3 linked regions of the Bombyx mori genome follow. The protein of the gene in region 1 purifies or fractionates together with the protein of each later gene. This does not show direct contact. Links are inferred from orthologs where the notes say so. Each region holds a gene or a part of one and is shown on either strand. Other genes may lie near its edges.

Region 1 (3,662 bases):
ATTTATGTCGATGCAAAGAGAAGATGACCACAACACTAAACAAGTTTACTACTATTTATTTAAGGTTTGTTATTTTAAATTCGCTACCCCAAGCAGACTGGTCCGCGCAGAGGAAAAACACCATGACCTTCTAAGATTAACAAATTCATTTCGGATATAATTATTATGAAGTATTGAGAAACTTCATGAACTCGAAAATAGCCGTGGCAGACATAATGTAGGTTGGAAAAGGAATCAGTGAATTGAAAAGCATATCTTCTAGTGAAGGAATAGAAGATTTAGGTCCTATACTAAAGTCCTCAAGATAACCTCTCGAGGCTAATGGCATAGGTAGACAAAAATAAATAAAAAAAAACATTACAAAGGTGGGACCAGGACTATTGTGTAGGATTTCAAATTAAAAAGAAACTTGCACACAATTGAAGCAATAATAGTCACATTAGAAAGAATAACAATCTTAGACTTAGTACTTCTTACAGAAATAGGAAGGTGTAACGTTAATAAATAAGATAATGCAATGGGAAAATATGCACATGGTAAAAGATGGAGGCACACAGGCACTTTTGCTTTAGATAATAAATTGACCATTCTCAATGGCTTCTATATGAAAAATCTCTGGCACAGATCTCTTCAAATGGAACATATAAAAAAGAAATTGACTTTATCTTGGCCAAAAAGCCCAAAAACCTTCAAGACGTAAACTTAAACAGAACTTTTCATTCAGATCATAAAATGCTATGCGCTCAACTTACAGGAGCACCTATAAAGAATGATAAAAAAAAAACATTGGACCGTAGACCGCCACTATGCAGAACAGAAGATATTGGACAAGTGTCTGAATTTCGAAAGACACTTTCAAGATTGCCTGAATAAGTTCCGAACAATAACATTCGGACCCTCGGTCTGCCAAACAATTTCAACCGCTACACGTTATTTATAAATTGCGCAGTAATTAAATAAAAGCTGTGTGGTGTTTTATTATAAGACTAGCTGATCCGGCAGACTTCGTAGCGTCTCAATCGATAAATAAAAGACCTAAACTTTTGTATCAAAATAAACTTATAACAAACAAAAGGAATCCGTCCGACCGGGGACACATCAATGGGAAAACAAAATTGTAATTTTTATTTAATTCCGTGCATTTTCATATTTATCTACCTTTTAAACCTTCTCTGAACTTCCACAAATAATACAAGACCAAAATTAGCCAAATCGGTCCAGCTGTTCTTGAGTTTTAGCGAGACTAACGAACAGGAATTCATTTTTATATATATAGATTAAAATATTTTTCAGATACTTCGTAAATGCATCTTAACGCGTTCCCAGCCTCGGATCGAGGGACCACTGGGACAACCTCCATTCGAAAGGCCTTCCATAGCTAAAGCAATAACAAACTTCGTTCTCTACAAGTTCAATTCATTACCACAAAGGGAATGGCAAACAATGTACGATTTGGCCAAGATGTTCCTTCACTGTTTCAATCATTGGAATTTTGAAACGCCCAGCGTCAGGAAGCTGGTGAGTTCCATAAGTCATTATGAAACAATGTTTTTATATAATTAAGTTAGATAATTACCCGTGCGTGTCATGAGGTGTTAAGATTGAAAATTGAGACTTTCTGCTGTGTCCTGAGGAATGTATGGAGATTGATGTTTCCCGCTTTCGTGGGCTTAACCCACGATATCTTAAAAGTGAGCTCTGGGTAGTGCTGAACGGATACCGAAAACATCTGTGGTAGGACTATCCCACTGGCTGGCGACTACTCTCCAACTAAAGTCCGCCGCCAAATAACCTAGTTGTATTCCGCCGTGTGGGTTGGAGAGCCAGTTCTATTCTTCTCCTTTCCTCTTCCATGTTGGGGGTAAACTGTGGTGATGCCACACCCCCGAGCTACGAGATCTGTGGACGGGGATATGGCGGAGGTATAGTGAAACGGTCACCACCGTCGCTCGCCGATCATTAGGCATGAACCTGGGTGTCACTAATGAATTCCGGCTCCGGGAAGCTGTCCTGCCAATCGGTGTAAAAAACCTGTCGTGTCTTGGTCGGAGTGAATCCCGGAGCTCGTACGCAGGGTGAATTGGGGGCCCTTCCAAGCTCAGCGTTAGCTTCTCACACAACCCACGGTCAAACGCTCGCTATGTCCCAAGCTTTATCTTGAAGCCACCTCCAACCTACTACCTCTCCCAATCCTAACTTCTATTTTAGTTATTATGTGAGTCGACTATTATCAAAGCCGGCAATGTGACTTTTGGACAATTATTGGTAAATCAGAAAAACGAATTATTCACTTTGTATTCCATTGGCAGTCACAAAACTCTTCTGAACGACATCTTAGATAAATAACAGGTTAAGTATTAACCTTTATTTAATGCAGGTTTTGAACCGTATTCTTTGGAGGAGACGATTATATTCAAATCAATCTGTATTGACATATCAATAACATTTTTTTGTCCAAATGCACAGATTGCCACCTTTGATAATAGACGACTCATGTATCTGTATCTTTTGTTAATAATAATATGAAAATAAATTAGTGAATATTTATTTCAGCAAGTTTCAAACCCTGAAGATATATCAGCCTACCAGATTAATTATACGAGGTAACTATGATCTTTTAATTAGGTCTATCAGTTTTTATGCGTTCAACCAGGATAGCTCATCTAATATTAAGTGGCTTGCCGAGTTTATGGAAAATACATTGCGAATGTTAACTATCCCAAATTCATCATATTATCTGGAAACGAGGATAATGGTACTAATAGATGGATCATGTAGGTTTACTGGTGGTAGGACCTCTTGTGAGTCCGCGCGTACCACCACCCGCCTTTTTCAGCCGTGAAGCAGTAATGCGTTTCGGTTTGAAGGGTGGGGCAGCCGTTGTAACTATACTTGAGACTTTAGAACTTATATCTCAAGGTACATTTACGTCGTAGATGTCTATGGGCTCCAGTAACCACTTAACAACCAGGTAGTCTGTGAGCTCGTTCACCCATCTAAGCTTTAAAAAAAAAACTTGCATTCCCTATAGAATTGACCAAACATCAGTGTAGGATTATCTAAATTTTTTGTAGCTTTGATTCTTTAAGAAAGTAATCCAAGCAATCTAACTGTGTAGAGCATAACTATACGTAACGTGTCGTTCGTCCGTTGCAACCACGCGATCAGTGCTTTTACGCTATCCAAGCGTCAGTCTCTGTTCTCGTCGAATAGGATCAAGAGTTCGACGTCCAACCTAACCCATAGAGTTCATAGACCATTGAGTTCACCGGATCTTCTCCCTAGTATATTCAGTCAATCACATTAATAGAGTCAGTTTTCGCACAATCGTGAACACTTGCGATTTGAAGTTCATTAATTTCCATCAAAACTAAATGACGAATCCAGAAAGAGTTTTCATATTTTAGTTCTCCTTATGATTTTATTTTAGCATCACTATTCATTAAGAAAAATACACGGATGATTTCAATGCAATCTTTTAATACAATTTTCATTAATTTCGATTGAATGTTTCAATTTGAAATTCGGTACAAACCATTTTTTATGAACTTGAGTTGGTACTGGATATATTTGATTTCAGTAAAGTCATTCATTTAGAACTAATCCGTTTTCTTTTAACAACTACAAATAGTTCAATGCTTTTAAGCTCTTCATGAACTGGT
Region 2 (4,266 bases), on another chromosome or scaffold:
GGAAGAAAAAGAATGTCAAACGGCAGGAGACATGATCACCGAAAGAATTCAAATCTAAACTCATAGGATTAACCTTAATGTATAATAAGAGAGTGTCAACCTATAGAGCCATCGCTACAACATTTCGACACTGTCATTTTAAAATACGAAATGTCGTATTTCCGCTACTTGTTAAAAAATAAACATATTATCGTTTATGCGTAAACTTTTGTTGCTGTTTTTCAAAATTTCACTTCTAGGAATATTTTCTTTGAGAGTTAAAAAGTAGGGGTTGAAAGTGTAATTTCTCTCATTTGAAAGAGAACTGTCAATATTGAAGCTTTTACATAAAGCTTAGTAAAAATAATACACGTGATGTAATTACAATATATTACCTATGGCCATTACTGTAAACAATAATGTACTTTCTTTTACTTGTATTATGATGTACTTTCAGCAATAATTAGTTTATACATTATATGATTATATTTATTCATTATTACATAATTCACAATATCATTATTCATCCCGTGCAAAGACGGATCACTACTATTGAACATATGATGATTATTAATTGGATTATAAGATATTTTATAAATAGGCCTGAGACATGAAAATACAACATAAACATGATTTAATATGATGGAGAGATAGTAGTTAATAACAGACATATTTATAATTTAAGTTTAAATTTTAAGTATTTTATCAACAACTCTCGCTTGGAAAGAGGGTTTTTTTGAACCCCTAAAAAGAGATCCTAAAAGAATATCTATATTTTTAAAATACTATAAATGTAAAATTGAGTTTTGTTATTGACTCTTAATTTTCATGTTAAATTTTCGCATGCACCTTATCACGGGTAATTTTTCTTAGTACAATGGGAGCGAAGTAGATATGCTATAAAAATTTAATTACAAGGTGTGGTCCTGTCTTCTAAAGCGATCTCTTTCATTCAACCGTTGTATGGATAAGATTCAAGAAAGAAAAGTGTAAATCTACTATGACTAGAACACAAGAATGAAATTGGATATGCCATTGTAATATTTTTCCAATTAGGTATTTCTGCAACTAATATACTAAACTAATATGGTCTTTTCAACTATCTAGGTCCTAGATTCTAGGAGATGGAAATGGAGCAAAATCACTGGACTTGGCTGGTTGGCCTATTACGAAAACTGATATCATTCAAACTTTAAACTATTACCTTTTTTATACCTTAAAAAAGGTAATAGTATGGCTTGGTAATGACACCTTTACGCTTCTCGTGCAAAAGAATTTACTTTAATTTAATTCACGAAGCCCGCTATAGAAAGCAGAGTATTATATACACTTGACATTGGCGAAATCTAAAAGGAAACGCCATAAACCTAAGAGATAGATAGATAAAAGAATTTACTTTTTGAAACAAAGCCTATGAAATACTATTCCTTTGCCTGTTTTTTGGGATCAAACAAAAAGTTATTAATTCATAAACTATAACAGCTGTCTCTTGTTTTGCTTTTGAGTTTTAAAATTTGAATTTTAACTTAATTATAACACCTAATAGTTAGTAAGAATTTTAAAGAAGTGAAATTTCTAATCTAAGTTTGAGGAAAAAAAACCCTTACATTACTACCATTTAAGACAGAAGATACAGTAAGTATATTTAAAATTACTTTAATAAATAAAATGTTACGATTTTCAAGGTTACGGTATAACCTCCTAGTTATAAAAATCACACAGTTTAAATTAAATGATCGCTGTAATGACATTTGTACCAACGACGTACTTGAAAATATCTAATAATATTATACTGTGTAAAGTATAGGTATCTATTGTATGAAAGTAGGTGTATGTAATTAGATCGTGAAATTCCGACACGGTCCAATGATCAGCAACATGTTTAAAGCAGTCGCCCATAAAATAAAAACTATATCCACGACATTCATGTAGGTAAGTCGAGTGAATCAGTCAGTAAGTAAATGAAACGCCGCGGTGATGCAGTCAGTAGATATATAATTTTTTAAAATACTTTTGATGTACATGGAAAGTGTATAACGGAAATTAAAAACCTTTTTATTATCCTACAACAAGTACAACATATTTAGTCTTTTATGGATCAATTCGAAATAAAGTAAGAATTTAATTTTTTAAATATTTTTCTTTAGATTTTGCAGCACCATTTTGTACTTTCTAGTTTTTTTTTTCAATTCAAATTACATGTATGTATTTTAATCATTATTGTTTACTATTTACACAGATTTAGAAGCAGTATTGACAGTAGCTATATTGATTATTTTGTTGTAATGTTTTTTATTTATTTTTACTTAAGCAACTTTTTTTTACAAACAGGTTTATAATAACACATCTTTTTATTGCAGGCTGGTAGATTGACTATGGTAAATTATGGAAATAGAAAATATAGAAGATACTGTAACAGTGAAGCTATTGTTTTTTGCTAAATCAAAAGAATTGTCGGGAGTTAGAGAAACTTCCATAACTTTACCAAGAAAGTTGGGATATCAGAGATTGTTGAATATTATATGCGATAAATATAACTTAAACAGTATTAAGAAAAATATACTTTTGGCTAAGAACGAGGTAGTGTGTGAGGATACAGTAGATATAGAAATTAATGAACAAGACAACTTAGCTGTTATACCACCATTGAGTGGAGGTTAAATAGTATTTCACAGGATGGACCATATAAAATTAACAGTAGATAGACTGTCAGTCGAAGAAATAAGTGAACTTGTAACTGATGATAGCTGCGGTGCAATTTCATTGTTTATTGGCACAACTAGAGACAATTTTGAAGGAAAAAAGGTAAACTTGTATTATTTAAAATTTTCTAGTCATTAGGAAAATAGGTATTTTGTTAAGATTCTGTATGTGAAGCCCGTTGTTCAAAACGGTAATGGCTTTTAACCATTTTAGTGTTAAGTGATATTTCATGTCACTATAGGCAGCAAATTCTTCGTGATCTACAGGATATGGCACCCGGTGCATTCACATCAAGCGACGCAATTTTCTTAATGAAATAGGTTAACAAATGTTCACAAATTATTTCTATAATAAAGGAATAACATTACTTGTTATAAAAATTGAACCCGCAATAATTATAATTTTTGTGTAATTATTGGTGATAGGGCATCATATCTGAGCCCACGCGGGTAAGTACCACCATCCTGCCTATATTTTCCGCGAAGCCGTAATGAGTTTCCGTTTAAAGGGTGGGGAAATTGTTGCAATGAAAAAACTGAGGCTTAGACAAAAAGAGTTTGAAGAGCAACCTAGCCCAAATACATAACCAACTTAATTTCTCGCTGGATTGGATTTCTCTTACTAGGACTATTGTTAGCAAATTCTCTCAGGATGAACCCCATGAGCTTACCAACCCGTCCGTGCGTAGCTGAAGATATAAATAAAGAAAATATGGCCATAACTCTTTGTCTATTTGCATCTTCTAAATTTACAATTTCCAACACAGATATAGTTGTTTACGTTCCATAGATAAGAAATGATTTATTTTATATTATAGTTTGACCTCTTTGAACACTTTTTGTAAACAACAACCAAGTCAGATAAATGTGGTGAAGTAAAAAATATTCATGTAAATGCAGTAAATAACAAGAGATTGTTTAGTCATACCGATGTTAGCAATGATTATATTTCAAAAATTTAAACTCATTTTTATACCTTTGTTTTCAAGTTAAGTCTGTTCATACGGTATGCTGCGGGCCACTTTGAACTAGAAGGTTGTTTCTTCCTAGTTTCGAGATAAAAAAAATATATTTTCGTAACGAGCTCACGGCCCACCTGTTGTTCAGTGGTTACTGGAGTCCATATACATACATCTACATCTCAATTGTTTAGTAATTACGCACGTTACTATTATATCGGATTTTTATTACACGATGTGGAAGTCATTCGTGAACGTGTACTAAGTACGTATTTCATTAGAAATAAACCTTATCGTGACCGCCTAAAATTACATATCCGACCCAGGCCACGAGGCAAATCAAAGGTACCGTCGTCTAAAGAACATCCGACGACATTTATTGAAGTCGTCGTGGCCTAAAGGATAAGACGTCCGGTGCATTCGTATATAGCGATTGCACCGGTGTTCGAACCCCGCAGGCGGGTACCAATTTTTCTAATGAAATACGTACTCAACAAATGTTCACGATTGACTTCCACGGTGAAGGAATAACATCGTGTAATAAAAACGTAACGTGTACAATAAAAGTTTTAACATGTGGTAGGACCTCTTGAGAGTCCGCGCGGGTAGGTACCACCACCCTGCTT
Region 3 (3,171 bases), on another chromosome or scaffold:
TCAGTGGAACTACTTTGAGACTTCCTATAAACACTTATTTTGAATCTTATCCTATGATGTTATATTGTATTTGAGTCGTCTATTATCAAAGGTGGCAATCTGTGCATTTGGACAAAAAAATGTTATTGATATGTCAATACAGATTGATTTGAATATAATCGTCTCCTTCAAAGAATACGGTTCAAAACCTGCATTAAATAAAGGTTAATACTTAACCTGTTATTTATCTAAGATGTCGTTCAGAAGAGTTTTGTGACTGCCAACAGAATACAAAGTCAATAATTCGTTTTTCTGATTTACCAATAATTGTCCAAAAGTCACATTGCCGGCTTTGATAATAGTCGACTCATTTGATTCATATTTCGTATCATTTAATTCAAATTGGTTGTCATGTCCCACTCTTGACAAAAGCCAAAACAAACTACCAAGTTTCGAGAACTACCACCATAGATAAGCAGGGCATTGAATATTGTATGATATATTGAATGAAAATAATTGGAGGTTTTCACACAAACATAACCATTATTTTAATTTCTCTTGAGACTATTCTAGAATACTGAAAAATAATAGAAAAGCCAGATTCTAACAAAATTTTCTTATAATTACAAGTTTTAAAAGGATGTGTGACCAGATCTAGTAATAATTGTAACATTTACATAACATACATACATACATAACCTAACATTAAGTAATTTTTATGGCAGTAAAAATTAAGTTTAGAAAAATATCAGTAATAAATCAAATAAAATACTTTTAATTTTAGCAAATTGCAAAAACAAATTTTGAGAAGTTCTAAGTTTTAATTGTAGTTAATTTACTGATGTAAAAGTAAGTGGACACAATTCATTTTGGGATGCTTTTGAAGTTTACTTGTTTTTAATAAAAGTTTATTTAATTTTAAAACACTTCATACATTATTACCAACTGATTAATTATTGCGAGGTAACTGTTGTAAATGTTCATGGGAAACTTGTTTCATTTAAACATTTATCACTTTTGTAACACAGGCATGGGTTCTTTGAACTTATTTCATATAGTTTTTCAGCACAGTTTCTGAATATACACCACTAAGCGCCACTATACATTTTAAACTCAAGTCGCAGTAGTATTCAATCGTCTTCTATAATCTCAGCGTCTTCTTGTTCATCTTTTTTCTTCATAGAAGCGGATTTTCGTGCCGAAGCCATGGTCTTGTAATGTTCCAGAGCTTCTCCTAAAGGTTCCACAAATCTATCAAATTCGATGTCTTTCATAGCATCTATCACGTCCTGCCCAGTGAGAGCCTTCCTTTTTTTGTTCTTAACAATATTTGTAGCTGCTGAAGTCACATAAAGTACAAAAACTGAAGCCGCCTTAGCGAGGCCAGTTCGCGCCTCTTTTGATATCGATACGCCACTGGGAAGAGCTTCTTTTACGATTCTAGTTACAACTGTGAGTGGTAAATTCAAATCTTCGAGTTTTTCAGCCATTTTTGTTTATAACGTTCCTATTTATAAAATCTGGAATTAAATGAAAACATTAATTTAACCGCCAGAAGCACTAATGACATTTCTTGACATTGATTGGAGCATACAGTCACAGTTATAGATTATACACAGTTACGAATGTTACGATAGTACTCTCTATGTGTATTATCTATGGATACAAGGGTTAGTAACTGCCGCCTGTCGCCGTGCTACAAAAAGTCTCAAAAATAGGTACTCGGAATACAATGCCTTTTTTTCAAAGTTTTCATAGGTATCGTGGCTTAAACTATATTATTATGCTGTATGAGATACCCGGTGAAGTTACATAAAACGATGGGACAATACCAGCAGTTAGATCCTGCAGTGTAGTAGCCTACCGAATTCACAATTAGTATTTAGCGTTATCACGTGTTTATTTGTTGTTTATTCAACGTTTCTATTATTCTTCAAAATTAAAACCTCAAATCTTATTCACGTTACATGCTATAAAAACATTGCGATCTGTTTTCCAAAAATATTACAAAAATATAGGATTGCGTGATAATTTTAATTCACTGGTGGCAAGAAAGCACGCATTGATGATGACGCATAATGTCCATTTAACGAATGCAGACCAGAAGAGGGCTTGTAGTGCAGCAAAGATCAAGACAATATGAGATAAACTTAAACTGTATGCTTTGGTGGGAAATCGACTTTATCGTCTAATTAACTCAAAATATTTAGCAGTCACCATTATCCAAAATAATTCACGGTCAAAAAATAAATTACTCAAAAGTATGTAAAAGTTTATTTTCGCTATTATTTTTTGGTTAAATTATTATAATCTGATAATCTGTTATTTTAATCAGCCATTTAATTCGCTTGAAACCTTGTTGATTGTTGATAAAAATAAAAAGCAATGGTTCGAACACTCGTGTTGTTTGTAGAATTATTTGATTTGCACGATGTCGATATAATGAGAAACGAACGAAATTACTTGCTCATTTCTGCCACAAAGCATTATTGCATTCCGGTTTGAAGGGAGGAACAGCAATAAAAATTTCATCTTTAAAAAATAACATGGCCTTCAGTTCACAAAAGCTTCGCGTTCGTTATCATGTTACCCGTAAACAGCTGATTTACGAGTGACCAGTGTGCTTAAAAACATTATTTAGAAAATATAATAAAATATATCAGTAGGCTTACCATAGATTTACTAGGCATACATTGACTACCATGAAAGCGTATATTAGCGTATCAAAGGACACGTTGTCCGTGTTAGTTCGTTTTTAAAACATAATAGGTATCTACTTTTTAGATAGAAATTGACAACTGAATCAACTAAACAGGTCAATGACCTAGTTTTACAGAAATCGATGAAAAATTAAAAATGAATGACGTGAATACATATAAAAGGGAAGGTCAATTGTTGAATTTACTAAGTACGTAATAAAATTGAAATAAAATTTATAAATACATTTTTATTGAGTTAGGTACGCTTGGAGGTATTGCGCAAACTCGTGGTGCAATGTTGATGCCAGTGTTGTTTTGACAATAGTGATGTCCAAATGAACAAAAACGCGATAGCGTGTTATATTCTCTATTTTTTTAAGCTATTATGTTTTTTGTTACTAATAAGTTTTATAGAGATTCGGTGACTGTTAATTTGAAACTTTATGCTAAACAGATAGCTTTTTCATTTCCTAGTACCTGTGTCTCAAAAAAT

What was found.
Region 2: the proteins of histone acetyltransferase KAT2A (region 1) and molybdopterin synthase catalytic subunit purify together in Drosophila melanogaster (affinity purification with mass spectrometry; 3 studies listed by BioGRID, with this or other methods). This does not show direct contact. The link is inferred for Bombyx mori from reciprocal best matches to the Drosophila melanogaster genes Gcn5 and Mocs2B.
Region 3: the proteins of histone acetyltransferase KAT2A (region 1) and DNA polymerase epsilon subunit 3 purify together in Drosophila melanogaster (affinity purification with mass spectrometry; 3 studies listed by BioGRID). This does not show direct contact. The link is inferred for Bombyx mori from reciprocal best matches to the Drosophila melanogaster genes Gcn5 and Chrac-14.

The regions. Positions count from the first base shown.
Region 1 is NC_085120.1:4,787,553-4,791,214, reverse strand, and holds part of histone acetyltransferase KAT2A, read left to right. Parts: coding exon 1-64; intron 65-1,293; coding exon 1,294-1,518; intron 1,519-2,553; coding exon 2,554-2,603; intron 2,604-3,662.
Region 2 is NC_085131.1:1,996,940-2,001,205, reverse strand, and holds the start of molybdopterin synthase catalytic subunit, read left to right. Parts: upstream 1-1,345; 5' UTR 1,346-1,614; intron 1,615-1,685; exon of another isoform or gene 1,686-2,092; intron 2,093-2,339; 5' UTR 2,340-2,655; coding exon 2,656-2,784; intron 2,785-4,266. UniProt on the Drosophila melanogaster protein: Catalytic subunit of the molybdopterin synthase complex, a complex that catalyzes the conversion of precursor Z into molybdopterin.
Region 3 is NC_085130.1:7,455,844-7,459,014, forward strand, and holds DNA polymerase epsilon subunit 3, read right to left. Parts: upstream 1,595-3,171; 5' UTR 1,470-1,594; coding exon 1,110-1,469; 3' UTR 581-1,109; downstream 1-580. UniProt on the Drosophila melanogaster protein: Accessory component of the DNA polymerase epsilon complex. Participates in DNA repair and in chromosomal DNA replication. Histone-like protein which promotes nucleosome sliding of ATP-dependent nucleosome remodeling complexes.